Linked DNA regions of Oryzias latipes. The protein of the gene in region 1 purifies or fractionates together with the protein of each later gene. This does not show direct contact. Links are inferred from orthologs where the notes say so. Each region holds a gene or a part of one and is shown on either strand. Other genes may lie near its edges. The genes, in order: lats2, limd1, ajuba and sav1.

The links.
Region 2: the proteins of lats2 (region 1) and limd1 purify together in Homo sapiens (affinity purification with mass spectrometry; 3 studies listed by BioGRID and IntAct, with this or other methods). This does not show direct contact. The link is inferred for Oryzias latipes from reciprocal best matches to the Homo sapiens genes LATS2 and LIMD1.
Region 3: the proteins of lats2 (region 1) and ajuba purify together in Homo sapiens (affinity purification with western blotting; 3 studies listed by BioGRID and IntAct, with this or other methods). This does not show direct contact. The link is inferred for Oryzias latipes from reciprocal best matches to the Homo sapiens genes LATS2 and AJUBA.
Region 4: the proteins of lats2 (region 1) and sav1 purify together in Homo sapiens (affinity purification with western blotting; 4 studies listed by BioGRID, with this or other methods). This does not show direct contact. The link is inferred for Oryzias latipes from reciprocal best matches to the Homo sapiens genes LATS2 and SAV1.

Annotation. Positions count from the first base shown.
Region 1 is NC_019879.2:11,538,341-11,546,135, reverse strand, and holds the start of lats2 (serine/threonine-protein kinase LATS2), read left to right. Parts: upstream 1-2,675; 5' UTR 2,676-2,926; intron 2,927-3,135; 5' UTR 3,136-3,214; intron 3,215-7,795. UniProt on the Homo sapiens protein: Negative regulator of YAP1 in the Hippo signaling pathway that plays a pivotal role in organ size control and tumor suppression by restricting proliferation and promoting apoptosis.
Region 2 is NC_019874.2:10,095,901-10,103,429, forward strand, and holds the end of limd1 (LIM domain-containing protein 1), read left to right. Parts: intron 1-771; coding exon 772-834; intron 835-2,009; coding exon 2,010-2,140; intron 2,141-2,651; coding exon 2,652-2,703; intron 2,704-3,824; coding exon 3,825-3,893; intron 3,894-4,260; coding exon 4,261-4,404; 3' UTR 4,405-5,252; downstream 5,253-7,529. UniProt on the Homo sapiens protein: Adapter or scaffold protein which participates in the assembly of numerous protein complexes and is involved in several cellular processes such as cell fate determination, cytoskeletal organization, repression of gene transcription, cell-cell adhesion, cell differentiation, proliferation and migration.
Region 3 is NC_019876.2:18,017,047-18,024,791, reverse strand, and holds the start of ajuba (LIM domain-containing protein ajuba), read right to left. Parts: upstream 4,576-7,745; coding exon 3,108-4,575; intron 640-3,107; coding exon 538-639; intron 418-537; coding exon 350-417; intron 266-349; coding exon 203-265; intron 1-202.
Region 4 is NC_019880.2:1,303,123-1,310,792, forward strand, and holds the start of sav1 (protein salvador homolog 1), read left to right. Parts: upstream 1-3,519; 5' UTR 3,520-3,767; coding exon 3,768-3,861; intron 3,862-4,993; coding exon 4,994-5,470; intron 5,471-7,468; coding exon 7,469-7,670. Other genes in the region: nin (ninein), read left to right, coding at 392-589. UniProt on the Homo sapiens protein: Regulator of STK3/MST2 and STK4/MST1 in the Hippo signaling pathway which plays a pivotal role in organ size control and tumor suppression by restricting proliferation and promoting apoptosis.

The DNA.
Region 1 (7,795 bases):
CACTTATTGTTTCATTGGGTTTTATGCAGTTTTTAGAGTTTTTTTTCTCATGCGAGGAAAGCAAACTTTCATTTGCAGAGTCTTTTTCTAGTCCCTGATTACGACTGCATTACTGTTGTTTCTTCTCTGCTTGTAAACGCAAGCAGCAGCATGACGATAAGTGTTACAATAACCCGTCTGCCTTTCTTGGCTCAATCCTTTCCATCCAAGCCAGGTAGATTTAACAAAGTCTTCTGGTGGAATGATCAGTGTAACATGAGCACACCATTCTTCTGCTTCAAATACAGATTTTGAATTTATAAATGTCCTACTCTGTTTTGTAATTTTCTTCAGAAAAAGGTTTGCACAGAATAAGCAAAGAACCTTTATCTCTAACTACGGTAGCTTGTTCACACCAGACTAAGTTATTGAGCAAATTCAGTAGTACCCGGAATATCTGCAAATGAAGCGGCTCTAAAAGCCTTATCTAAATGTCTAAAGCTACTGTGTTTGCTAATACCAGAAGCCTATTTTGTGATAATTGCCTCTGTTAATAAAGTCTTCCAAATGAGCCTTTGATTTATCTTTTAAACGCCTTCATTATTGAACCTTGCAAGCATTTGGTTTGCTCCAAAGAATCATTCTTTCAACGTGGTTGTGTAGCTCATTGTTGTTTTCCACTGGTATCTTCTGATCTCAGGCACAGACGGTTGCAGAAGTTTCTGCTTGTTATCACAGATCATTTGCATTCTCCAATTGTTTTTTCTTTAGTCGTCATTCCCTTCAGCCTATGTGTCTGCTGATGGGGAAAAAGCACATACAGTACACTTCATCAGCAGAACTGTAGTGAATTGATTTCCACAGTGATGCTTTTGCTTCTTAAGCTTGTATATAATTGCATGAATCTTTGTAGCTGTTCCTGTTTGAGTCATCTCAGATACAACAAATGACATATGGAGAAGAAAACCTTTATGTTTTTAGTTTCTCATTTTGTTTCTTCTTAACCCTTGTGCTATCTTAGATGACCTCACCCTTACATTGTCGTGTTCTCCCTACCATGACAAAGATGGATAAAGGTGGAAAGATTTCATGAAATCCATGGACACCAGTGAAGATCACAAATCATTGAAGAAAAAAAGGTTCAGAGCACTGTCTAGTGGGTCTAGATGACCCAACTCCCAATGTTAAAGTGCCTAGGATAGCACAACAGACACTGTTTCAACTGTTCAAAAAAAGTTGCCTTCAGACATAAAATTATAAAGTATTGTTCATTGTATTTTGTTTTCTAGGCTGAAAAAACACTAAACGTTTGGGGTAGAAACCCCATTACCCTCACTCATTTCTCAATTCTTGGATAACTTGTCCACGTTAGTAATGTGTCATCCTTGATTATAGTTTGTTTTTGCTTTGATTTATTTGTTCAACGCTCAAGATTTCTGCTGAAGTGGTGGAGGAGTGACAGTAATGTAATGTACTGCTATATTTTCATTTATGAAAGGGAGAAAAATGCTCAGAAGGCTCCACCTTGAAGTATGTGGTGCGGTCAGTGAGGAAAGAAGACAGATGCTTCACTCCTAAAAAAATTTACTTCAACTCGTTAACATGCAGATCTGGAATTCTGGGAAATTTTGAATCAAAAACAAAACTACTGACTTTATGATTTAAAATTCTTGCAATCTGAAAATACTTTCATTTTGTATGAAAAAATCATCAGTTTGAGTAGTCAGCTGCTGTTATTCACACACGTTTTTTTGGTTTTGCACAACTTCGCAACAATGTACGCAAAAGTCACAAAAGTTTAGGAAAAAAAATCCAATTTAAAACAAACTACAAGCGGTAAAATCACATAATTAAAAATCCTTACCTAAATAATTGCAGTCAGTGTTTTTTTTTCCAAGATTGAATTGATCAATTTTCATCCAATGGAAAGATAATATTTTGAAAAACTGTGGCAAAAATAATTTTAAAATAATTTTCTTGTTTATTGATGTTTTGTTTGGTTCTAAAATATTATAACTATTTGGGTGAATATTCTTCCTTTAATGCTAAAAACAAACATTGTTTGTAATAACGCCATTGTTTTTTTGGTAATGTCTGCCAAAGAAACAGCGCTTAGTTTGAGAGGTGAGTAGAATATTAGAAAAATGGGATTACAAAAAAGTTTATACTCAGGTAGAAGCAAAAATGATTGTTTAGTCAAGTATAAGTAAAAAGTGTTAGTTACTGAAGTATTCACAAAGTGTCAAGAATAGTAATCTATAGATGCAGTGTTAAAATATGTTGGCCAAAACAGTTGACCTAGATCTAGTTTCAAAATGTTTGTAAACAACTTTTCCCTTTGGTTCTGGCATTAGAAAAAAATCTATATTTATCCATTAAGTTTGTTAAACCTAATTAACCTAATTAAAAAAAATAAACTTTCTTGGTAGAAATCTTTTAACAGACTGACGTCAATGTTGCTTACAATGCATCCTTGAATAAATTATACAGAAAACGTTACTGGACTAAAGCAACTTACTGTAACCTTTCTTTGTAGTTCTAAATGTGATTTTTTTAACTAACTTTTAAGTTTTTAAATGATATACTTGTGCAAAGTTGATTTCAACTACACAAAAACTGGAATCTGCTGCAGGGTGAGTCGTGGTCGTAATAGACGATCTCTGTGTGAGTGCTGACGTGCGTTGGTCCGTCACGTGACCTGAGGAATGTTAACAATGCAGCGAGTGTCCAACTTTGTGCTGCATTTCGGATCCTTCTTTGAGTCTGGGGAGAAAATGGAGGCTCGTTTTATCCTTCCCAGCCCGTCGCCGTGTCTTCGCTGAGCGCGTGCCTTCAGTCTCCGCGTCCAGCAGCTAAACGAGCAACTTTTTCCCGCTACTTCTTGTAAGGAACTGACTCTCTATTCTTTGGGATTCTTCTTGTCTTGGCACTTCTCTCATCACACATGGTAAGTTGGGTTACTCGTTAAGGGATAGGGAATGCTAGTTAAGTTGTTTCTACAACTTGTTGCTGAAAAGTGGGAGGGGGGGAATGCCCCATAATAACGCACATATATGTTACCGTTACGGGCTAACAGAAACGGAATCGTTTCTCGGTTTGAAGCGGCTCTGTGGTTTTTACGGGAATGCCTCCATTTTTTTCCCTTTTCCTTCACAGGAATGCGTTGCTCTCAGCCCCCAGCCCTGCCCGGGGTTCAGCGGGGGAGGCCACAGAGCGTTAAAACGCTGGCTTCCGCGTGTGTACACACCTTTCAGACAAACAACACGGATAACGGTTTGATGAGATCAGGAATATATATCCAGGCCACACACGGTTATTAACTGACATTTCTATGGATCAAAAATCCCCCTTTTAGTTCACTGAAAACTGCTTGGAAGTGACCCCCCTCCCCGCACTGATTTAAAACACTAATTGAGTGTTGTGTGACAAAACTTGGTCAACAGCTGTTATGGTTAATTCTATGCACTTTCTGTATAAATTAGTGGGAAAACATACAAACCCCACATGTCAGTAGACCTACTCCAGGTGACATCCCACTTTAATAAAATAAATTAAATGTGTCCAGATGTGTGAAGACTAGAGATATAAAGATTTGATTCATATCCAAGCTGGTGATTGACGATATAATTCGTAGTTGTATGTGTAAAAGTAAACAAGAATGAATGGTAAATCCATTCACATTTTAGTTTCCTGAAGTTCAGCCTACTGTTGTTTTTCCACATCAAAAATAATCCAAAGGGAACATTAGTAGAAAATCTACCACACTGTATGGTCACATTTCTTTGCTAAATTTCAACCCATTGGACTGGAATGATGGACTGATCAGTTTTTGTTGCATCACACGCGTGTTGTTTGCTTTAGTAAAACAAACCTACCATGTCTCAATCCAAATAGTATTTTCCAGTATCAATAATGTAATTTTCAAATGATTTTCTAATAGGAAAGGTCAATTTAATTAACACTGATCAATTTGGTTGGATCGTAGGAATAGCAATTGATTAAGTTGATTAATCGTTACACCCTGAATGATGACACAGCAACAGGTACAGTATGTGTGGTGGTACAGCAGTGCTTAGGACTCCACTTCTCTCAAATGAAGGGTTTGCTTGGCTATTTGAGTTGTTTTATTTAGAATAAGCTTGGTGGAGTAGGAGGTTGAATGGATAGCTTAAGGTTTGTGGATGTTTGGAGATTGTTTAGAAGCATGTTATGTTTAAAGTAGGAGGCCGATCACTAGACGGCCCTCTGCAAATGAGAAATCATCAAAGATGCACTTCTGTTATATGACAAGATTTGCAGCTGTGGGAAATCTCATTTATTTATGATTTTGGGTTTGTTTTGTCATCTGTTGCTTTTGAATTTTTATTTTACTTGTGCAGTGCATATTTTATTTCAAACCATGCTAAAAATTGCAGAGATAAACTTTGTTTTGTTCATCCTAAAACTGAAAGTCAACACCTAGTGGTCATTGTTGGAACTGCAGACACACTGGTCTTTGTCTAAAGGCCTGTTCACACCGGGACGAATTTCGCCGGCGATTTTCGCCGACGTTTAACGCCTCGTGACTAAACAAAGGGCACCAACGAGAGTGTGCACACCGACGCGAAAAAACGCCAGGCGTTAAAGCGTCAAAAAAAAAAAACGCCTCGGGTTCGTTTTTTTTTTTCGACGCATCGCGTCGAAATCTACTCGACCAATGAGAATGGCGCTTTTGCTCACGTGTCTGGAGCTTCTGAAGTTACAGTAAAACACAACTTGGGGGCGCTCAAACACAAAACTGCCTTGCTGAGCACACATACCAGCGAAGAAGATAGACGCCAAGTAGCGTCTACACACAGCCGCGAAGCAATAATGACGGACATTCTAAAATATCCCCGAACCAAGCACCACTTGGAGCTACTGGTGCTTGAAATATTCATGTTTTCTTTGTTTGATTCTGACAAGCGTGTAAATACTTGCTCTCTTCTTCTGAGTGAAAAGCGACTTTAAGAAGCGTAAAGTTGCGCAGCGCCACCTTGTGTACAGGAGTATTTCTGTTTTACATTAAGCGCCATCTAATGTCAGGGAATGAAATTGCATGTTCACTCCACTCATCGTCAGCGAAAATCGCCTGGGTGTGAACACAAAAAACGTGGCGAAAAACGCTGGCGAATAACGCCTGGCGAATATTCGTCCCGGTGTGTACGGGCCTTTATACCCACTTTTTAAGGTTGGTGTTTTTTTTTTAAATAAGGTTATAATACAGCTACTTTCTTTGATACTCATTTATTTTGAAATGTTTAACTTTTTCTGCCATACTGACAACTCAAAGTGCAGCATAGTTTGTCTACTTTTAGAACGCAGTTCATAGAATAAATGATAATAAACTAGGGCTGCACGATATGAAGAAAACTCACGTGTGATATCAGTGATTAATATTGCAATGACAATATGATTTATGTGGACAAAGAGCAAAAAAAAGCATAACTAATTCAACATTTCCGTTTCACTCAAAAAGGTTTACTTAAATAAAAGCCAACATAACTTAAATTATACCCCAAAGAACCCTGGTCTACTTTAGAGGCGCTGATCTAACATAAAAAGGCTCCATCTGTTTGGTCAAATGCGTAAAGGGCTCAATTTGATTTGTTAAATACTTCAAGTTTCCATAAGATTGTTTTTTTCTTTATGTGTCTGAACATTTAAGGTAATCATTTATTGCAATTTACGCCATCTTTTGAGATTCACGTATTGCACAGGCTGTCAAAATGACAATAAACTTAAAATTTACTCTGGAGGCCTATAATAAATAACTCCATAGAACTTTGCCAACTCAAACCAAATTTCTTTGCATTTTTCACTGGGAGATGTAATTTTCTCTTGGGAAAATAAATGTTTCTGCCAATTCCTTCAGACAGACTCTTGACCGACGTGGAGTAATTTTAGAGTAAAAACAAAACCGAGATAAGGGTTTGGAATGTGTATAGTGTTAATCACAACAGTATGAGTGTTTGTGGAGACATGCAGAAGCTCTGGTTTCTTATAGACTGATTTTGGAATAGCGGTTGTCTTTAAGATGTCTCCCGACTCAGATCGGACACATGCACGGTGTTTGCCGGTTTATTTTGGTCAGCACAGACTGTCCCATGATTGGACTGTGGTATTTTACTTGTAGTTACTTGTGGAATGGAATGCTCATCGCTCAGATGTGGTGCCAAAAGCATCACAGGAATGGAGGAAAGAGATCCAGGAGATGAGGAAACATTTTGGAGCCTGGCTCCACAATCTTCCACCAGTGATATGCATTTAAAAAAACCAGAGAGAGAGAAAGCAGGAGAAAGGCGATTTTATCTGTACTAACAATGAAGATCTTCCTTACAATTGCCTAAAGGGATGAGACGGCCAGGGGGGCGGAGGGTGGGTGTGTATTCAAAGAGCTTCCCAGGTTTGCTGCATCTGTTGGGTTGTAACTCTTGGCAATATGACTCATTACAACAACAGTGAGGCCATGTTTGAATGTGTTTTTGCTCTGAGGAATGTCTTCATAGCATATTTGCTTCACAAAGTTGAGTAGAAGTACAATCTGATTGTAATATATGTACTTTTTAATACAACAGCAAATCAGTTGAAGCTGCTTCTCTGATTAAAAGTTACAATACAAACAAATTGCAAAGCCAATTCTTGTTCTTTTAAATTAAATCATCATTAAATTCATTAAATTTGCATGACAACCATTTAATGCTTTTAAGTCATTTTATCATTAAAATCTATCCAATAAATGTGAGATTTCTTTGTAATAGATTTTTGAATCTCTTTCTCATTGAGATTTAATCTGATTGATACTTTCATGATCTACTTTGGCATAGGGCGACAGATGTCCATGACGGCTTCGAACAGTGTTGAACAAATGTGTTTGCTTAGTCATCCATTAGCCTGAAATCCAAGTTTCACATGAATTGGTTCATGAGCTAACTGATTTAAGTTTAAATATAAAGATTTGTTTAATATTTTGATGCATTTAATTTATTTATTTGTATCCCTTGTGAGCATGAAAGCTGCATCGCGGACTGTCCTCACAGTTGGGAGGTCATGGCTGGGTATTTCTTGGGTAGAATTTGTATTTCTTTTTCTTGCATATGTGGGTTTTTGTCCAACTGTTCTCCCCACAGAAGAAAAACCCTTATTTATTTCAACGTATTTTTATACTGGACTTGTCAGCGAGTAGGAGGGGCATCTCTAAAAGTTTTTTCAGCTCCAAGGTCCCAGGTTGAACACTCTATGGAGTGTAGGGCTGTTGGTGTTAATTTAGAATGATGGACATATCTTCTTCTTTTTGGGTCATTTTAATTGGTTATAATAACCACCAGCCACAAAGTCATTGGGATTGCAAAGCACAACAGTAACCTTACGGTTGTAACCACAACAGTAAAAAGAAAACGGCTACAAACTTGTGTTTCTCCTTTTCCCAAATAGGAAGTACCATTTCTTCCTGATAAGGGCGCTACCAGTCGCAGTGGCAACTACTGTCGCCATTGCCATAAATTTGATTACCGGTACTCGGAGCGATTCGGACCAATCACTGTTGACTGGTTTCAACATTACAGTGCCCGTATCAGAAAGAAAATAGTGGCAGATTTTATCTAAATTGCAAGAGCCGGAGGTAAGGCATTTTCTATGAGTGACTTCACACCTCGATTCGTCCATTGTTTTTACAGTCACCGTGTGTGCTGCGTTCAAGAACGCACTCTCCGCAGTTTTATAAACATGCATCCAGCTGGTGTTGGACACACAGGACAAGTACCAGACATGAAGGTGGCGACAGGGAAAAGATTTTTCT
Region 2 (7,529 bases), on another chromosome or scaffold:
TTCACTGGTTTATGAGAGTCGGGACAAAACATGTCCCACATGAAAAGGTCTTTTTATGGATAAAAATCATGAATTTAAAATGGATTGACTTACTCTACATGTTAGATGTAAAGGAATTGTGAATACTGGTGTTATGTTTTAGCATAGAAAATTATTTTTTTAAAGACTCTTTTGCTGAAATGTATGAGTAGTGATGAGGCGTCCTCTGGTATTTCTCTTGTCTTCAGCATGAGGTCACAAAAGTCACCAGCATTGAAAAATATTAAGTCCTTAACATTTATATCAAATTAAAGATGAGGGTTAAAAAATGTATTAAACAATAAATATCATGAAAATGAAACATTTTTGGAAGAGAAGATAGAACAAATTTCGTTTTTCTGAAGTTCTTTTGTCCCGACTCTCAAGAATCAGTAAGTTCCTACAAAAATTAGAACAAAAACCACGAAAAAAAATTACAAACAAAGATCATCTGTGTTTTTTTGTTAGTATTTTGTTTTAGTTTATTGAATGCGGTCCGCTTCCAGACGTCACTGCCGTTTCCTCCACACCAACAGAAACTGACGTTGATGCGGCCGCTGCATTTTAACTGTTTGGTTCCGGCAGACAAACTTGGATGCATCAATGTGTGTCTTGGTTTGATTTAGCGACATCACCTGCAAATGTGTTTATTTTGGAAATTCAGTAAAAGATTATGTAAAAAGCATTGCTTAAAAAAAGTGTACAAACCCTGAAAGGTGCTAATTCTGCACATATGACCCCTTTTCTGTTTAGTACTCTGGTTTCCAGCAATCAGCTGACAAGTGCAACGCATGCGGACATCTCATCATGGATATGGTACGTGCTGATGGAGCTCCAGAGGATCTCAGTAGACGCTTGGAATGGCTGTAGCCACACTAAGCTTTCTGCAAACTCAGAGATTGAGGTCTGGTTCCTCATTACTCACGTGTGATGAGGTGTTATAAGTGGAATGGAATGGAAACAAGTTTATTTCGAATATATGTTAAAAAAAACAAAACAAAACAAAAAGAAAGAACAGACATAAATAAAAAAAGAGAATATAAAGAAAACGTTCACGCTCAAGAACCGTTATAAACACAAACAGAATTTTTTTCTTTTTCTTTTTTCTTCCATATATGAACACAAATACTACAAACAATTAAACAATTATACATATTCGAAAAGGAGTGAGAAAAAGTATAAACTTATATAAACTCACCCCCTATTCCTCATCAATATTAATTACATTAGTAAGCAGCTTCTTTATTTATACACAATGTTTCATAAGGTATAATAATTTTCACAGAGTACTGTCCTAAATACTTAGCATGAATTATTATTGAAGAATACTATGCGCATATTAAGATAAGAATAATATACACATATATATTTTTACATATGTATACTTACATACATATATACATCTAATATCCATCCGATATATTTGAATATCGTTTTAAAATCATATTTTTATATCTTATTTTAAAGAGTTTTATGTTGGGACATTGCTTTATTTCATCTTCTCTACTGTTCCACAGTTTTGCTCCACAAATAGAAACACTGAAACATCTTCTATTTGTGCGTGCTTTGTGTATGTAAAAATTTTGTTTTCTTCCCAAACTGTACTCTCCCTCTCTTTTCATGAATAATTTTTGTATATTTGCTGGTAGTAAGCTGTATGTGGCTTTGAACATGAGTAATGCTGTGCGCAGCTCCACCAGATCTTTAAGTTTCAATAATTTTGATTGTAAGAATAATGCATGTGTATGATCCAGATAACCCACGTTATGTATGATTCGTATCGCCCTCTTTTGAAGAATTAACAGTGAATGTAATGATGTTTTATAATTGTTTCCCCATGAGTGCAGTACCATATTGTAGAAAACACGTCTCGTGCTCCTAAAATCCAGGTGGGATTACAAAATCAAGTCAAAAGATCAGACAATAACGTTTGTTGTTGTTTTCTATTTGTTGGCTAACCCAGATTAACAGATTATTTCCCATCTTCGTAGATCCTGCAGGCTCTTGGGAAGTCCTACCACCCCGGTTGCTTCCGCTGTGTCATCTGTAATGAGAGCCTGGATGGGGTGCCCTTCACCGTGGACACCGAGAACAAGATCTACTGCGTCAGAGACTACCACCGGTAACCCTCCACGGCTGAGTGTCGGTCTGCCACGTGCAGCGGACACACAAGAGGTTTATTTTGTCGTGGAAGTGCTGGGAGGGGAGGGGGGTCTAGTTGGAGGTGTGAGGAGGCACGTGTCTGCCTGCAGGAGCAAACATCTCTCTGGTTCTGTGTGGTTTGGTTCATGAGCCGCTCACAGGAACTGCTGACACCGGATTGATTTCCTCTCTGCTGCAGCTGCTGCTGCTGCTGCCTCAGCTGGGTCGACATGTACTTGCTCTCCTCTCACTGCCTGGCAGGCCCCCGCATGTTCCGATTCAATCAGACAAAGCTCACTGTGCATAGTCTGGATTTGACTGGTGCTCTGCACAATGTAATTCTTCCCAGACATCAAGGTGCCTGCCATGTGCTTAGAAACTCAGACTTTTGTTTATGGTTCCTTTTTCCTCAGCGCATGTATGATCGTATGTATGAAGGAACTAGAAAGCCTTTATTTTAATCCAGACAACTTACTTTGTGTTTTTTTTAGGGTCCTTGCCCCTAAATGTGCTGCCTGCAACCAGCCTATTTTACCTTCAGAGGTATGCTTTTCTTTACTTCTGTTCTTATTTACATTTCAAATCCAAAAAACAGAGAAATGGGAGTAAAATGTGTTGTTTTACTGTTTGTTGGTATTATTCCCAGCTTTTTTTTTGCAATACTTCTTAATACCTGTGCTTCAGAGCGTTCATTTCACCCTCGCCACATACTCCAAACTCACCCAAATTTGCACATACCGAGTTAAAATAATGAATTTTGGGCAGAGTGAACTATTCTTTCATAGCACTCATATTTGGCTCCAAAAAAGGTAAAAAAAAATAATTAAAAAAACGGTGGATGTTTATGATTTCAACTGGGGCTTGTGGGAGTTCATTGTCGTATTTGAAAAGGGGCACAGATTCTGTCTGGCTGCTGATCCAGCCTCTTTACAACACCGGCCTGTCGGCTTCCTTGCCGGCTGCTAAAGAATATTTTACAGCTGGTTCCACCGGTTCCTGAATCGCTGTAACCAAAGTTTGTGCCCCTGCATGGAGAAACGGCATCAGCTGAGTCAGAAGCAGACGGACAAAAAGTCCTGAAACGCTGAGGAAGATGATGGCGGAGAATAAATATCATCCGGATGAATGAGTGATGGATGAAACCAGCCTCCTCTGGAAGAAGTGACCCTCAAACACGCTGCAGGACCTTTGGCACGTAACTGATGAAGGATGAGGCACGGGTTCCAGGTTTTAAGGCACAGAGAGACACTCCTAATGTGTGTTATAAAGTACGCTACAAAACAGTCTATTGCCCTGAATATATATTTAAAAAAAACTGGATGCTGAGCAATGTTTTTTAATAAATGTTTTACAAAGCATCAAAAATGTTTCAGAAGGGTTTTTGATGAGTAGGGATCAGTGACGGACGTTCTCCGGCTGCGGGGGTGGAGGTGGTTCTCCGTAATCGCAGATTCTACGTATTCACGGGTGTCTCTGCTCCCTGAACCCCGCGAATAAAAAGGGCAATGCTGTACTCACTTGAGTTAAACAGGATTCCTTTAAATACGAATCGTAGGAGCTGACATCTGTGGATCTTATCCGTGGATCTGCTTTCAAAGCAGCTCACACCCTGAGGCTTCTGTGTGTGTTTTTCAGGACAACTCACCGTCTGCTTTCCTTTGCAGGGGTCTGACGAAACCATCCGCGTGGTTTCCATGGAGAAGGACTACCATGTGGAATGCTATCACTGCGAGGTGAGCAACGATGCACTAAGTCCTACATGCAAAAGTTCAAATCGAGCTGTGTGTGTGTGTGTGTGTGTTCTCATTAAGGGAAGTTCTAATGAGCAGATCCCTGATCTTAATTACAGCCTTGATAATTATGCAGAGCTGAGTGAAGCGGCTATAAAACTGCTCATTTATTTATTTATTTGTCTTTGTCAAATGTTGATTGGCAGCTTAACTGCTGAGACAAACTGACCTGTTGTTTCAGTCCTGTGCTTCTGTCTCAGCAACACAAAAAACCAAACAAACTGCTGACCAACCAGCAGATGAGTGAGTCTCCTTCCCGTCTGAATGAGTCAGCAGTCGCTCTCTCTCATCTTTGCTTCTTCACGTTCAGGACTGCAAGATGGAGCTAAACGACGAAGAGGGTCACCGCTGCTACCCTCTGAATGGCCATCTCCTCTGCCACTCCTGCCACTTGAAGCACATCCAGACAGGCGTCCCCGCTCCTCCTGCTGCTGCTGCTGCCTCCTCCTTCTAGCTGCAGCCGCAGGGAGACGACTGCTGGTCGCAAGGAGGAACTGTCAAACATGGCGCCTGTTCAATTCTTGTTGTAAAGGATTGATTACGGCATCACACCCTTCAGGAATGAACTCTGAAGACCGGCTATGACTCAGATATAAAGTATTGTGATTAACCAAAGTTGAATGCATATGATTATCCTATGAAGTTTTTCTCTTGTGTTTGTAAACGGAGTGCCTTCTCTTTCGTATTTGCACTTCAACAGCGATTCTTCACGTTCAGCTGGAGACACAGTCATCCTCCTTTCCGAGGCGTTAACTCGCACGTTACTGACATGAACCTCTGGAGCCTAACGGTTCAGGCTGAGATCAATCTGCTGGCCGTTGGATCTGAACCGTAAAAAGTACCGGTCACAACACAACAGGTTTTCAGACGGACAGATTGCAGTGCTGAGTGGTGAAAGGATAAACTCACACACGCTGATAAAAGCACTTAGACTGAAGTAATGGACTTTCCTATGCACATATATTCAGGGCCATCTATTAAATAGTTTTAAATATATATATATTTGTGGGTTTGCAGGTAAATATTTTTAAAGTATAGATGCAAGTACAGAGCGGATTTAGGGAACTTTGATCAAATGCTAACCATGGTTGCAGTGTGAGATGTTTTTCCCGCCAAACCTTTAATTACTCGAGTCTTCAGTTCATTATTTAAGCTTCACTCATTTGTGAAGGCCATTTCTCTGTTTATTAGAAAATGTAAAGCTAATGCTGTATTATTATTGCAAAGAAAGTGTTTCAATAAACATCAGCTGCTTTGAATTTATCCATTTTATTTTTATTAAAACTGGGATTTTAATACCAATCTGTAATGATGGAACCTTTACTTCACGTTTGTTCAGGAACTTTTTGTCACCTTTCAAAAAAACAAACAAAATCTAACTAACTTTATTTATTTTTTGATTTTTATTGGTGTTCTTATTTTACACGGTTTACTAATAAGCCTCACATCACTAAAAAACTCAAATGAATTGAAGCCGGGGGGAAAATGAGTCACCTGACTGCTCCATGCAAAATGTGACTTTTGGCGGGGAAGGATCATGGTATGCGGTTCTTCAGTAGAACTTTTGACTATGCAATACATACTTGGTAATGAAGCTCTGTTAAGTACATGCAAAAATTCAAAAATTGATTTTGTGCCAGTAGGAGGAATAAACTGACATACAGTGGGGCAAAAAAGTATTTAGTCAGCCACCATTTGCGCAATTCTCTCACTTGAAAAGATGAGAGAGGCCTGTCATTTTCATCATAGGTAGACCTTAACTATGAGAGACAAAATGAGGAATGTAATCCAGAAAATCACATTGTCTGATTTTATAGAATTTATTTGAAAAATAAGTATTTGATCATCTACAAACAAGCAATATTTCTGGCTCTCACAGACCTGTAACTTCTTCTGTAATATGATCTTCTGTCCTCCACTGGTTACCTGTATTAATGGCACCTGTTTGAACTGGTTATCTACCGTATTTTCCAGACTATAAGTCGCCCTTTTTTTCATAGTTTGGCAAGGGGTGCGACTTATACTCCGCAGCGACTTATATTAGAAATAAATTGAAATAAATACATTGTTAACCCTCCTGTTATGTTCATTTGTGAGGAACAGAGATGATGTTCCTGGGTCAATTTGATGTATGAGGTATGTTAAGTGTTAGGAGTATGTTAAGTGACTCAGAGAATCAGCAAACTTTTTTTTACAGTAAGATCTTGAAGGCTAAAAACATAATATTCTATTTTCCAATGATTTCATAGATTCAGAAATGCAATAAAAACGACAACTGTTTCTACAAATACAGGATGAAAACAGAGTATTAGTTGGCCAATGATGCTTCATGAAAGGAATAAATAAATAAGTTTGAGAAATAATTACTGTGAAATTATGAGATAAACAGTCTGCTATGATTGTGTCATATGAGGTTATGAAAGTTATTAGTTCTTGGTCCCAGATTTTGTCAAATAAATTTCCCGTCAAAATGCGACTTATAGTCCAGTGCGACTTATCTGTGCTTTTTTTCTACTTTATAATGCATTTTGGGCTGGTGCGACTTATACTCCGGAGCGACTTATAGTCCGGAAAATACGGGTATATAAAAGACACCTGTCCACAACCTCAAACAGTCACACTCCAAACTCCACTATGTCCAAGACCAAAGAGCTGTCTAAGGACACCAGAAACACAATTGTTGACCTGCACCAGGCTTTGAAAACAGTATCTGCAATAGGTAAGCAGCTTGCTGTGAAGAAATTAACTGTTGGACCAATGATTAGGAAATGGAAGACAAACAAGACCACTGATAATCTCCCTCCATCTGGGGCTCCCCGCAAGATTTCACCCCGATGGAGTCAAAATAAACAAAAGAACGGTGAGCAAACATCCCAGAACCACATGGGGGATCTAGTGAATGACCTGCAGAGAGCTGGGACCAAAGTAACAAAGGCTACCATCAGTAACAAAGTACATCTTCAGGACCATCTAAAGTTTGCTAGAGAGCATTTGGATGATCCAGAAGAGGATTGGGAGAATGTCCTATGGTCAGATGAAACCAAAATAGAACTTTTTGGTAAGAACTCTCCTCGTGTTTGGAGGAGAAAGAAAGCTGCATTTCATCCAAAGAACACCATGTTCTCTGTAAAGCACGGGGGTGGAAACATCATGGTTTGGGGCTGTTTTTCAGCAAAGGGACCAGAACGACTGATATAAAGTGTAAAGGAAAGAATGAATGGGGCCATGTTTTGTCAGATCTTGAGTGAAAACCGTGGTTTCAGCATGACAACGATCCCAAACTCACTGCCCGGGTAATGAAAGGGTAGTTTCATAAGACGCATTTCAAGGTCCTGGAGTGGACTAGCTAGTCTCCAGATCTCAACTCCATTGAAGATCTTAGGTGGGAGTTACAGTTTTTCTCAGTCGCTTTTGTACAATTCTCAGATCAGAATTGAAGTTTGCAAATACGTGTGTGCATTTCTCAAAACAATTTGTACAAACAGCAAAACACTATGGATTTCTTGCAAAAGCCTGTAACTTGCTCAAAATCTTTAGTTCATCTCTCAAAACTAAGTCTTTATGTCATTGAACATGTCA
Region 3 (7,745 bases), on another chromosome or scaffold:
AAGCTCCGCCATGGGAAACCGACAAAGGGGCTGAGAGAAGGAATTTCTCCATGTTTGAGAAGGAAAGAGAACGTGGGAAGCAGTTAAGGTGGTGACTGAAAATGACCAAAGACCGGGGATTAGGGCAGGAATGTTGTGCGCCTGCGGTTGCGCCGAATGTGTGTTGCAAAGTGTTTGCACTGCAACCTGACGCAGACCTCACCTGCTCCAGAATGAGGTGGCCACACACAGTACACTTCTCTGCAGCTGCCTGGAACCCTGAAAACTGTAATTAAACAGGGAGAATTACGGAGAGCGGCTGCCAAACGTATACGTCTGTGCCCAAACGCGCCTTGACCTCAGCTCTTACCATGTAATCCTCTTTACAGTACACAGAGCCGTTGACGTTGTAGAAGTCCTTGTTTCTCAGGGTGCGTCCTGCAGGAGGCCAGGAGAGGACGTTTTTGATGGTTACAAAAGGTATTTGGAAAAGGCGGGGCACCATTGGGCAAATACTTTAGAGCATCATCATTGTGTTTAGAGGGAGGGGGTACTGACCACAGGACACGCAGGTGAAGCAGCGGGTGTGATAGAGGTTCTCCTGAGCCTGGCAGGCGTTATCCGCCCCATACACACCTTTCCCACATTTAACACAGGTTCCTGTGGGGAGGAAAGGAAAGAAACAATGGAAACAAACATGCATTTAGCAGAGCCGTCGCTCAGCGTCTCGTCCTGCGCTTTGTTTACGACACATTCCTTAAGGATGTGCCTGAAATCCAACTCCACGCAAAGCGTCAACACTTGTAAATCCTCTCGTTCGCACCACCTAGGGGATTTTCACACAGTCAAAAAGAATCCTGCTACCCCAAGCCCGTCTGTTTGCTCCCCAACCCAGGTGTCTGCGGTTATAAAAGGGGAACTCCAGCGGTTCCGACTGTTGGCAGCCGTTTAAATGCAGCTCAAAGCCGTATTTAGAGCAATGAGGAGATTTGGAATGATAGCAGCGTTTCCTCTCATGAGCCACATTTTTTTTAAGCCGCCTTTCGACGTTTGCGTTTTCCTTCCAGTCAGCAAAGCCAAAAAGGTCCAACTGATTTTCAGGCAACTTGAGTGGAAAAAACTTTCCAGGTCAAAACGGATCAAAGAGTGCTGCTATCGTAAGAATTCTTGGGACGGTTTCCTCCCCTCCTGCTTGGTTCTACAGGCAGCATGTTGAATGTAAAGTAGCAAACTGCAGAGCGTCACACTGTCTGGGATCTATTTAAAGGGTGTAAGTGCTTTTTTTTTTGCCCCCCCCCAACTCTTTAAAATGTGGCCTGGAGACACATAAATCACAAATTCCTACACGATTAGCTTTCTGGGAAACAACTAAAACCTTAAATGCAATCCCTAAAATCCTGACAGATAATAAAAAATATTAATTAATGCCGTGAGCGGCGTTGTACAGCCCGCAGGCACTGCCCTCGCCGCCCCCCTTTTGACCCACCCTCACTGGCTGAGCGGCTGCTTCAGATGCTTCACTCTTCCCCTATGCCACCCTGGTCAGAGCTGCACGTGACAAAGTCATGAAAAAAGAACACTTTTTTTCAATATAGTGGCTTTTCTCTTAGTTTTAATACCATAGTAACCATTATATGTGTTGAATAGGTTTATGTCATTTTTAGAAAAATCTGCAAAAGGAAATTTTTTTAAATTTCCTTGACAATTGAGGTTTTTGTTAACCCCACCCCTATTCCTAATCCAGTAACATTGCTATTATTTCGCTCATCTTGGGCAAACGGTTAATGTATAAAACGTTGACAATATTCTGGTGAAAAATGTGCGAGTCACATTTGCTAGCTCGCCACACAAAGCGCCATTCAAAATCTACACCTTCTAATACTCGAGGAGTAAGGAGGCGATAAATCAAAATCCCCCTGAGGAGTTCACATTTGTAGAAGGTGCTAAAGATGCTGGCCTCTTCCTGAGGTCAAGGGTCAACGAAACTTTAGTTGTGGTTGTAGACTTAAGCTGGTGGCGTGTGTGTGATTTTTATGAAGATCACTTGAACTAAAGTTTTCAATACCCAGAATGGGTAAATCACCAAATTACAAACCGTAGGTCCTGTGGCCAAATTTGAAGTATTTTTTAAGCCCTGTGAGAGATTTTGGCACCTTCCTTTTTTTCAGGTTTTTGCTCGCTGTGGTGTCTTTTTTTTTTTAAATGGGGTTGGCCTTCCTGAGTTTGTGACGAGGATGACATTTTCGCTCAAACGCACAGGAAGGAGGGAGAATTGCAAAAACAATCTGGTCCTTGCAGTTCAAATACAAAATCTCACTGATTGACACCAACTCTTCCAAACTGGTTATGAAATCCCAACAAAACGGCGTATTTTTATTTTCGCTTTTGATAGAGGAATCCTTTTAGCGTCTGCCTTCACGCCTCACAGCTTCCGATTCTCCTCATGACTGAGAGGAGTACAGCATTGGGAGCGTCCCCTCTGGGCACACATACCTGAGCAGGAGAACAGGCTCCAGCACACCGCCCCTGCACACGCCAAGCCAGCCTTTCCACACACACACACACACACAAGCACGCCACCTCAGCGTGGCCTGGAGTCACGCCGACTGTCTCTCCGCCACACAAACACAAACAAAGCCAGAGCCCTAATCTAGTGGGACTCCAGAAGAGTCCAGAGGTGTGTTTATACACATAATTCCTGTTTGACAGCAGGGTTTTAATGACCACATGCATCGGCCGTCTATAGTAAGCTGGCCAGATGTGAGCCTGAAACGCACACACACCTGGAGAGTTGACTAAATGCGCTGACGCAGCATCTCGGTGTCTTCAGCCATCTGCTTGTCTGGATCAGCTTTTTGAAGCCTAAGCGTTTCTTTCTTTCTTTCATTCTGCTTGTTATGGCCTTACATGTCTCTGCAGGTTCCCCGGCATCAGCTATCCATCCATATGCTCTTTCAGCTATTAATCTGTCCATCCAAGCCCTTCATTTAAGGATCAAGCAGTGATCTGACACCAGCCAGTTAGGGAGACAATAATGACAGTTTGACTCTGCACTCCTGCATCAATCCAGAATGAAAACACGGCTACAATTTAGGCTCTGAAAGAAAACCAAAGAACATGAGTCTCACCAAAGAACTCCAGTCGGTTTTCGGCGTTCCCTCCCCCAGCTCCTGGCTCCTCCTGAGGTTTGATCTGACTGCCACATGGAGGGGTTGCTGTCGCTGGAACAGCGGTCCGGTGTTGATCTTTCAGCATCAGGACGTCTGGTATTCCGCCACCTTCCGACGCGGCGTCTCTCAGCAAAAGCCGAGTCAGCTCCTCCTGGTACCTGGTGCCTGGCAGGTCAGAATAGCGGGCCCTCTCTCTCATCACCCCTGCCTCTTTGGCCCTTATGCCAGCCTGCTGATCGTCCCACCACTCGCAACCGCCCTGGTAGCACGCTGCCGCCGGACTCCCCACCGCAGGCGGGTAGGAGTGACGACTGTCGTAAGCGACCGAGCACTGAGTCCAGGCCTCCACGGGGGTTCCTCCAGCCCGGCCGGGGGCTCCGTAACCAGCCGAGGAGCCTCCTGGGAGCATGGAGGGCTGCATTAGAGGGAGGCCTCCGGATGCGGAGTAGCGGGAGTCGTAACCTAAGCTTATGCCACTGGTTCTGTTGCTGCTGCAGCGGCTGCCCATAGGGCTGCCTCCTCCGCCTCCACTGGCTGTGCTGGAGGCGAAGCTGGACCTGGGACTGACCAGAACCGACTCCTGGAGGCTGAATGATGAACATGGACTCAGGGTTTGTCCCGGGGGGTAAAACGTGCTTCCTCCTACAACCCCTCCCATTATATCTGGTACTCGCTGTGGAGGATGAGAGAGGGATGCAGGCCTGTTGCTTTCCCACAATTCACTGCCTGTGCTCATGCGTTTGTAAAACAAGGCCTCCTGAAGCGAGAAGCGCTTGTGCCTCTCATGATCAGAGAGGTAGCTGGGCTCAGCTAGCCCACCTCTGGGGGCTGACCCATACCCCGAGGGGTTCTGGTACAAAGCGGGGACTGAGTGAGGAGGTGGCTGGGAGAGGAGCTGCTGTCGCTTCACCAGTTGCTGGAGCTCCAGGGAGTAACGCCGCTGATTGACGGAGGCCTTGGACCCAAACAGGCCTTGAGGGTCAGCATCAGGCCGGATTTGGTGGTCCATGCCCTCCATGTAACAGGAAGCTCGCTGATGGGAGGCGGGGCGCCTCAGAGGTGCAAGGGTGGTTGGGTGAAGTAGCTGCTCACCATCCGGAGGTACAGTGGAGGAAGGGGGTGGAGTGGTCAGATGCTGCGAGGGACCCATCGCCATCCCTCCTCCGCCTCCCCCACCTCCTCCACTTGCCGGAACGCTCGGATCATTTGTGGTCGCGGGGGCAAGTGGGAACTGGCCGGATCTTGAGGGCGAGGCAGTGGAACTGGGAGCGTTGCCGCCTCCACGTCCTCCGGAGTTAGCAACGTTTGCGTTGCTGTTATTGGAATTGTTGGCAGCGTCGTGCTTCTTTTTCGAACTGTTGAATTTGACACTGCCTGAATCGGTCAGCTTTAACTTCCCTAATAGCTTTGTTATTGGCTTTTCCATGGTGAACCCTTTGGTTATAACCAGGGGAAAAGTCTGGTCTTTCCTGCAGCTTCCTTTGTGCTCAAAAACTGTACAAGTACAAACAGCAGAACAAAGACAGTAAGCTGAAATGTTAAGTCCTAAAGGTAGAAAATGGCTTTAAAAAGTATCACAAAGTGTTGATAAAAACACTTTTCTAGACAGAATAAATATTGAAAAGATAAATAAAAGACGTTTTAAAGTAGGTCCTGTGAGTCATTTATGTGTAAAAACAGACAGATAGGATGGGATGAGCAACTCTCAGAGGAGTTTGAAAATCCTAAAACACATTAAATAGGTCGTACGGGGATTCCTTCATGGACCCTCAGGTGGCTCCTCGTCTGTTTCTTCTTCTTTTTCTTCTTTTATTAGTCTAAATTACTATTTTTTTTTAAAGTTGCTTGACATCCAGGGTGGAGTGGGGGTGTCTCACCGTTTGGGTTTTCTTTTGAAACCACAAAGCGGGGAGGTGAAGCAGGATGCAGACTATCAGCGCTTCATGAGGGTCCAGTGTGAGACGGCACAATAAATCCGCCTGAGCTCACAGACTTGACTCAGCCGACTCCTTCCATTCATCTCGGGACGAAATGAACTTAAATAAATAGGGTTACCGCTTTTAAGAAAGCCCAGGGAAACCACCAACGCCGCGCTGGCCAGACTCCTTCGTCGGTCCGTCCATCCGCTCGAGCTCGACTGCCTTTATCATTCCCGTCTACAAAGCAGGAGTCCTGACCGGCGGAATAGTAGCGGAAAAGTTTGGAAACACAAAAAGGAAGTGAAGGAAACGGCCGCACCGTTACATTTACATCCAAGCAGAGCAGCGCTGAGCTACAAAGAGTCCCACCGGATAATTAAAATCCCTCCCCGTGTGCTCTGCACGGTCGACAACTTTGTTTCTTTCTTTCTTCCCCCTAAATAATGATTTACCTCCCCCTCTTTTCAGCCACGTCAAGCTAGCTACAAGAGAAAATTACACTTCCTGGTGGAGCACTTCAAAATAGTCTGCCTTCAGGCATTGACTGTGTGTCAGAACATTCAACACAGTTTCTTAGAAGGATTATTTGGAGTTTAACTTTATTTAAATTTTATTTAAAAGGTTTTACTCGCCTTTTTTGAGAGCCTTTCTTTGCATTTTGCGACCACAATAGTGCTTTTAAAATTGTTCCATCAAATATGATTTGTTTTTGCTTTTATTTTGACGATAGTATCTCATATCCGGTCGTTCCTAAACACAGGCGAGGAGTTTTTTTTTTGTTATTTCTTTTTTCAGTCTGCAGTGGCTCATTCCCCCCAACAGACCGGAACACCTTTCCAACAACCATGTTTTTTTTTTCTTCTTGTCATTCATGCAAAACTCCCGCAGAAGATGCGATATCGGTCCAAGAAAATCACTTTTTATCCCAGTTCTGAGTGGAATTCTTTTAAAAGATAGTTAAACATAAAATACATTTAGATTTAAAGGTTTTTCTAAAAAATGTATTACCAGAAAAAATGTTATTTATAATTACCTTCGGTTTTAATTGGAAAAGAGGGTTACAAAAGCACCAATTTGACTAAAAAATACGAGATGTTAAAAATTTTAAAAATAATGAAGGCATCAAAAAGGAAAAAAGGCTTTCCAACAATAAAATTTATTCCAATAAACATTGTTACAGCAAAGAAATATCTCACCAAACATAGATTTCCTTTTTTAGTTTTACGCTTACTAGCCTATTACACATTATGATCTCAGTCTTTAACACCCCCCTTCATGCACTTTCTAATAATATGTTATGACGTAAATATGGATATAATTACAGTAAGCAGCCAGTACTGTATGTTTATTACTAAACATGGCTGTCAGTCAGGGACATTTCAGACACTTTTTGTTTATACTTTTGTAAATTGTGTGAAAAGTAACATAAGGAGCAAAATAGAGGGTGGCTTAATCTCATTCCCATAGGGTGTAATATATATATATATATATATATATATATATATATATATATATATATATATATATATATATATATATATATATATATATATATATATATATATAAAAACAGTCTGCATGACTGAGTGCTTGATTTTATACACATGTGGCCAGGCCAAGTGATAAGGACACCTGATTCTGATCATTTGGATGGGTGAGTAAATACTTCTAGTACTTGGTAACAAACAAACTACCCAAAAATGGGGAGTAATGGTTTCAATGTATCGGCTTTGTAGAGATACAAAAAATAAAAATGTTTCTCAGAAATTATCTAGACCTTAAAATGTTATTTTGAAACAAATTATATGAAAATAACTATCCTCTTGTTTACAATCATTTTGGCAGAAAATGGACTGTTTACTATATTGAGATAATGTCAACTTTTAGAATTAAAAATGTATGAAAGTTACTAAATAAAAGTAATAGCATTCACCAACCTGGTTTATAGTCCAGTTAATTATGGTATACAGTCTTAATGTATTCTGTAATACTTACAGTATTACAGAGCTATGTTTGCTCATGTTTTCAATAACTGATCATAATTCATTGCCTGAGTTTTTCTTCCTTTTTTGCATGGCAGATTAGTGCAGATCAACCATAGATGAGTCTGTTAATATTAAAAACAAGATATGCAAGATATGCATAGGTTGGGGGATGATTTTTCTGGGCCCTCAGGGCTCCAAAACAGACTTTTTTGGAGGTTACTGATTGTCAGAGTTGTATGGATAAATGTTTGTTGCCAATCAGCAGTCTTTGATGACGCAGTCATGACATGGCACAAACTTTAATTGTAAAGTGACCACCAAACCAAGCCAACAATTTGAACATTTCTTTGTTTTTCTGACTTTAACCATGCCCACATAGTGATTCATGCTTTCTTTGCAACATTTTCTGTAGTGAAGTTAGTGCCTCAAACCTCTGGTAAAGGAAACATTTCTGCTGACTTACTTCGTGAGGGAAAATCAGATTGCAACACCTTTCAAAATTAAATGTAATGTGATAATGAGGTTAATCATGTTTCTTTCTTCGTAGGTTTATTCAACATCAGGTGCATGTTTTAATAAAGCATTACAATGCTTGACATTGATTTAAAAAATAGTATTTTGCATCAAAGGCATTACTAGATTAGGCTGAATATACTGCTTTCATTGTTAATTTAAAAAAATGTTGTGAAATT
Region 4 (7,670 bases), on another chromosome or scaffold:
TTTACAAATGCAAATACTTCTTTACATGTGTGGACATAAGTAGAACTGGAAAACATTGAAGTTTTCTGAGGAAAAGTCCTGTTTAGGGCTGCCATTCCTCCCCCGGCCTGAAGGGGGAGATCAATATTTGTGGGATTTTTTTGTTGAAAACATTTGAAGTATTTTTTAACCCTTTCATGGCTTTTGTTGCTAATTTGCAACGTAGCATTTGATTCAGGACTACTGCTAAAATATAGCCTCTCCTTAAGCGATAAAAGAAAATAATTTGGACAGGAAGAGGTTAAAGCAAAACTTGAGACTTCCAACTAAAGCTCTTTATTTAGTATCTTGGAGTTCTCTCTGAATGTTGTCGTCTGCATCCGTTCATTTTCTCTCTTTTTCGCTCTTCCAGCTGCACAAAAACGGCAAAGCAGACGTTCTGATCCAAGACCTGTACGTGGAGAACGCTCAGCTGATGAAGGCGCTGGAGATCACCGAGCAGCGGCACAAGATCGCCGAGAAGAAGAACTACCTGCTGGAGGAGAAGATCTCCAGCCTGAACAAGATCGTCCGGGATTTGAACCCGGCGCCGGCCTACTCCTACAAATGACCTGGAGGCGTGGCCTGAAGAGGTGGCGCTCTGAAGGAGTGTCTGATCCAGGAGTCAAAGCCGTCCAGATGTTTGCCTGATGGACTCATTTTAACTGGAGGGACGCCCCCCCCATGCACCAACACGGACCACGACTGTCAGGTTTTATCCCACAATATAATTCTGAGCAATAAGTCATTTTAATAGAATATCTGTCCAAACGAAGGAATCCTCGCGACCAGTTTTTAGCCGTTTTATTCTATGACATCATGCAGACGCTCCTTTACTTATTTAACCACAAACACTTGAAAAGCTGCTGAGATGCAATAATAAACATTAAATGATGTTTGGAAAATGTGAGGCGGCTGACGGTTTGAGTGTCTCAATAAAGCAGAATATGGGGGGGGGGGTAAATGAAGTGTGTCTGATGTTTGTTTTTGTTTCTCTCTGCATAATTCAGATCCACTTTCAGAAACAAAAATATTTAAAGTTTCAACAAGAAGGTTTATAGAATGAATAAAACAAGCCTGACAACAACCGGGATAAATATCCACATACAGTCAGAACCATAAATATTTGGACAGAGACACATTCTTTCTAACTTAGTTTCTATACATTACCACAGTGAATTTTAAATAAAACAACTCAGATGCCATTGAAGTGCAGACTTTCAGCTTTTATTCCATGGGTTGAACAAAAAGATTATATAAAAATGTGAAAAACTAAAGCATTTTTAAACACAATCCCTTCATTTCATGGGCTCATTAGTTATTGGACAATTGTCTACCATGCTATTGCATGGGCAGGTGTGGACAATTCCCTTATGTCATAAGTGAAGCAGATAAAAGGCCTGGAGTTGATTAGAGGACTCGTGCTGCATTTGGAAGATTTAGCTGTGAACAGACATGCGGTCAAAGGAGCTCTCCATGCAGGTGAAAGGAGCCATCATTAAGCTGAGAAAACAGAAAAAAAACATGAAACCAGAAACTGCTACAGTATTAGGAGTGGCTAAATCAACAGTGTGGTACATCCTGAGAAAGAAAGAAAGCGCTGGTGAACTGAGCAACGCACAAAGACCTGGACGTCCACGGAAGACAACAGTGGTGGATGATGGCAGAATCATTTCCATAGTGAAGAGGAACCCGTTCACAACAGCCAACCAAGTGGACAACACTCTCCAGGAGGGAGGCGGATCAATATCCAGGTCTACCATAGAAAGAAGACTGCATGAAAGTAGATCCAGAGGGAACACTGCAAGATGCAAGCCACTCATAAGCCTCAAGAATAGGAAGGCTAGATTGGACTTTGCTAAAAAGCATCTAAAAATGTTCTGGAAAAACATTCTTTGGACAGATGAAACCATAATCAACCTCTACCAGAATGATGGCAAGAGAAAAGAATGGAGAAGGCGTGGAGAAGCTCCTGATCCAAAGAACACTACATCATCAGTAGAACACGGTGGAGGCAGTGTGATGGTCTGGGCGTGCATGGCTGCTAGTGGCACTGGGACAATAGTGTTTATTGATGACGTGACACAGGACAGAAGCAGCCCAATGAATTCTGAGGTGTTCAGAGACAAACTGTCTGCGCAGATCCAGGTGAATGCAGCCCTGTCTGCGCAGATCCAGGTGAATGCAGCCAAACTGATTGGATGGCCCAACGACCCAAAACATCCAGCCAAAGCAACTCAGGAGTTTATTAAAGCAGAGAAGTGGAATATTCTTGAATGGCCAAGTCAGTCACCTGATCTGAACCCAACTGAGCAGCATTTCACTTGTTGAAGACTAAACTTCAGACAGAAAGGCCCACAAACAAACAGCAACTGTTTGCCGCTGCAGTAAAGGCCTGGCAGAGCATTCAGAAGGAGAAAACCAGCATCTGCTGATGTCCATGAGTTCAAGACTTCAGGCTGTCATTGCCAACAAAGGCTTTTTAACCAAATATTGGGAATGAACATTTTGTTTGCAGTTATTTCATTTGTCCAATTACTGATGAGTCCATGAAATGAAGGGATTGTGTTTAAAAATGCTTTAGTTTTTCACATATTTATATAATCCTTTTGTTCAACCCATGGAATAAAAGCTGAAAGTCTGCACTTCAATGACATCTGAGTTGTTTTATTTAAAATTCACTGTGGTAATGTACAGAAACTAAGTTAAAAATGTGTCTCTGCCCAAATATTTATGGTCCTGACTGTACGTGTCGGGATGAGCGTTTCCAAACAGGAAGTGGCTCCAGGAAGCCAAACTCCCACAGATGTCTGTAGAAAAACAGCTTCTGTTGGTCAGAAGAACCGTTCTGCGTCTGATACCTATTTAACATTTTGATAATCCTGATTGAGGAGAGTGGTTGCCATAGAAACTCAGACCCACCACTGCTTACTGACGTCTGGCTTCAACATGGCGGCGTCTGTAATATGACAACGTTGCGACTGAATTGCCTTCATTTGGTTGAAGCCGGAATAAACCATTTACTATGGGACAATGTTATAAATTCAGATTTGACACAAGCTAGATGAAATGACACTGGAGGAAATGTCCATCATAATGTACATCAACTAAACTAAATAGAATTATGACGTAGATAGAAAACCTAGAATTTTTAATTTATTTAAAAAAATGAAGTATATGTACTTTTTAAAAAAATGTTTAGTGGCACACCACTACATTTAATAAAGTGAAATAACTTCATTAAATCTAATCTAATTATTTAAAAAAAAATGAATTAAAAAAGATGCAGAACTGTAAAGTTTTTAGGTTATTTAATAAAGAAGTAGTTTGTAAATTTGAAATTCTACTTAGAAATCACTCGATGTAGTATTTGAGTGACATCTTTTACTTTCTACCGTACTTATTCTTTATTTTTAATTTTTGAAATTATTTGTTTCTAAATGATTTTTTATGACCCTCGGGGTCATCCGTACATTTGCAGTAACGTTCTATTAAAGCCGAGGTGTATTTCTCTGAAACGTCCGCCAGGGGGCGCATCAACGGTAGGGAGGACTGGACAGCCAGCAGCCGGGAAAGGAGGATCCGCGGTGGGATGGCGCCGCCGCGGCAGCTCGCTCCTTCTCCCAGAGGCTCCAGTTTGGCTAGCTAGCTGCTGGCTAACCGGAGCGGAAAAATGAGCGACCGGGACGGTCGCCGAGTCGGAGGATGACTTCAGAGCGTCGCGGTTTTGAGGCTTCGAGCTTTGAGTGATGCTCTCGCGAAAGAAAAGTAAAAACGAAGCGTCCAAACCGGCCGAGGTCCACGGGAAGTATGTGAAGAAGGAAACGTCGCCGCTCCTCCGAAGTAAGCCGCGCAACAAGTTAGCTCAAGTTAGCCGCTATCTGAAAGCGCATCACTGTAGAACGGAGACGGGGAAAAAAAAATTTTTTTAAACAAACTTTGCTCTCATTCCCGCGTCAGAAACTCAACGAGCCACCGAGTGACGTTAGAAACACGGACTTGACGTCTTACCTGCGGGCTGAACCTCAATTCTGCGAAAAACCGCCAGAAAAAAGTTCTGTTTGTTCTGACTGCGCATCTTTCGTTGTTTTTGATCTCAAATGTCGCTCATCGACCTGCAGCCGACGGTTGCGGCGCATCAAAAGGACATTTCTTTGATCTTAAATGTACTTTGATGGCGTAGATGTGCTTTGATGACGTAAAACCGCTGGTTTGAACATTTAAACTTTTGATTTGGTTCAAGCGTTGATCAAATGCAGATGTGAGTTTAATTTGGGGTGGGGGGGGGTCTAGCCATTTTAAAACAAATCATTTTAAAAAAAAAAGAATCTGCAAAAGTAATTTTTAACAATAACACCAAACATCAAAAGATTCATCTGTTCTGTCCTGCAGAAATATTAACATCTTCATGTTCAGCTGATTCTTCTGAAGCATTTTTAGAAAATTCCTTCTTTTCTGGTCGCATATTTGAAACATTTTAGGTTTAGAATTTCAAGATTTGGATGATTTTGTCCTTCCAAACATCAGTCATTTTCTGGTTCTTCTTACATTTGAAATGAGCAGAAATGCTGTCTCTGCCAGAAAACAGGCAATAAATGACCTTAACCCTTGTTCTATCCTAGGCACTTTACCATTGGGGGATGGGTCATCTAGACCCACTAGACAGTGCGCTGAACCTTTTTTCTTCAATGATTTGTGATCTTCACTGGTGTCCATGGATTACATGAAATCTTTCCACCTTTATCCACCTTTGTCCTGGTAGGGAGAACACGTCAATGGAAGAGGGGGGGTCATAGGATAGCACAAGGGTTACATGAAACTGAAACAGTTTCATTAAATGAATCTGTTATAAACTCAAACTCGCTTTCCGTCATTTCGACAATTGTTCGCCAGAAAGGAGGAAACGGACGGTTGTCAGGGTTTCATCTTTGGTGGGAACAGGTTCCTTTGATGCTGAAGTCGTGTTTCTCTGCAGACCTTATGCCCTCGTTCGTTCGCCATGGACCCACCATCCCCAGACGAACCGACGGCCCCCCGCCGGAGTTGGGGTCCTCCACCTACCCCGTTGCATCCAGCCGGGAGTCCGTGGCGTCCCAGAGCAAGAGCGTCCTGCGCCCGCCCGTGCAGAGGCCGCCGCAGGAGGTGGCACGCCGGGAGAGCCACCGCATGTCGGCGCCCCCCTACCTGCCTCGCAGCCTGGGCGACCTTCCCCATGATTACCGGGGCTCCACGCAGTCCTTCCTCACGGACGTGAGCCACGTGTCGGAGAACGGAGACGCGGCCCGCTTTTATTACCCCCCCGAGGCGTATTACGACAGCCCGCAGCAGCAGCGACCCCGAAGGGCGGCAGAGCGCTTTCCCGACGACTACAGATACTTTGAACCCGGCGAACACAACTTCATGAGACATCCCCGCCAGCACACGCCCCCAGCCCCGAGCCGCCCCCCCTCAGGTAAACGGTGTTGGGATAGATTGAAAAGTGTTGTAGAATCAAGATGTGAAGATAAGAATGAAGAGCTGATGGTTTCTACTGCAGGTTTTACCTGAAAAGATGAGATCATCTTTTAAAAACATCTTTGAGTCAACGATCATAGATCTGACATAGATCCTCTGATGGATGATCCACAAATCCATGATCCACAGATCTACGATCCACATATCTATGTTCTACAGATCTATGATCCACAAATCTATGTTCTACAGATCTATGATTTACCGATCTATAATCCACCGATCTATGATTACACATCTATGGTCAATGATTGAAGGGGGTTTTTATTGTCATTGCCGGTGAACAGACAGACATTACAGACTAGACTGCGGCGCCACATAAAACGCTGAGAAACAAAAATGAACAACAGTAAGCAAAATAAAAAATAACAAAAAAAATAGATCAACGGATCTTTGATTTTTTGTCGAGGAAGACCTGCTGATCTATAATTTACAGATCTGCGATCCACTGATTCTATAATGTGTGTACCACAGATCTATAATCCCTTGATCTATGTTCCATTGATGTCTGATCTATAGATCTATTCTCTTTGGAAGACCCGCTGATCCACTGATCTACATTCTGTGGGTCTATGATCCACTGATCTACATTATTCGGGTCTATGATCCACTGATCTACATTCTGTGGCTCTATGATCCACTGATCTAGATTCTATGTGTCTATGATCCACTGATCTACATTCTGTGGGTCTATGATCCACTGATCTAGATTCTGTGGGTCTATGATCCACTGATCTACATTCTGTGGGTCTATGATCCACTGATCTAGATTCTGCGGGTCTATGCTCCACTGATCTAGATTCTGCGGGTCTATGATCCACTGATCTAGATTCTGCGGGTCTATGATCCACTGTTCTAGATTCTGTGGGTCTATGATCCACTGATCTACATTCTGTGGGTCTATGATCCACTGATCTAGATTCTGTGGGTCTATGATCCACTGATCTACATTCTGTGGGTCTATGATCCACTGATCTACATTCTGTGGGTCTATGATCCACTGATCTAGATTCTGTGGGTCTATGATCCACTGATCTACATTCTGTGGGTCTATGATCCACTGATCTAGATTCTGTGGGTCTATGATCCACTGATCTAGATTCTGTGGGTCTATGATCCACTGATCTAGATTCTGCGGGTCTATGATCCACTGATCTAGATTCTGCGGGTCTATGATCCACTGATCTAGATTCTGCGGGTCTATGATCCACTGATCTAGATTCTGCGGGTCTATGATCCTCAGCTGAATCGTCATAGATCTGTAGGTCATAGATCTGCAGTAGGTCTCAAGCGGAAAACCTGGTGTTTATTCAAAGCTTTCTGGACCGTTTGCTTCCCCCTCGTGTTGCTCCCCCTCACCGGAGGTTAAAGGTCACCACACGGAGCACATGCTGATGTTTGACCCGTGGTTAAAGCGGTTCCTGGTGGTTCCTTCACCACATCAAACTCAGACTCTCATCTTTTTTCCCGTCTGGACGTCTTCATTCGTCGTAGAACTTTAGTCTGCGTTTGGGAAACCCGTTTCCATGTCGGTGACTCTTAAACATTTGCTCCTTCGGGCGTCTTCTCGTATCAAATTCCTGCGGGGCGTCTGGATCTTTCTGTGGAAAAGGTCAGGAATGACGATGAGGAGGTGAAGGAGGAGACCGCATTCCTTCTGCCGCAGAATGTGTCTAACTCCAGCCGGCGTTTAGGCGGGAAGCCCCTCCCCTCGCTCGCCTGCAGCTGTCGGACCCGCATTCCTCGCCGACCTTCACCGGGAGCGCTCCAGGAAGTGTTGACGGAGCTCTCCCTGGTGGAGCAGAGAGCTTCCTGTCCTCGGCGCTCCCGCTTCCTTCCGTTCGTCCCGCAGACCCGCCGCCTCTTTCCCACACAGAGAAAACATTCCGGTTTTCCCCGGAGTCTCCCGGTTTTCCCGATGTTTCTCTGTTTCCTTCAGGCATCAGCCAGATCCAGGCCAAGTCTCTGGGGAACCTGTCCAGCCTGGCGGGGGAGGACCTCCCCCTCCCAGCCGGTTGGACGGTGGACTGGACCATCCGCGGCAGGAAGTACTTCATCGACCACAACACCAACACCACCCACTGGAGCCACCCCCTGGAGAGGGAGGGGCTCCCCCCGGGCTGGGAGAAGGTGGAGTCCGC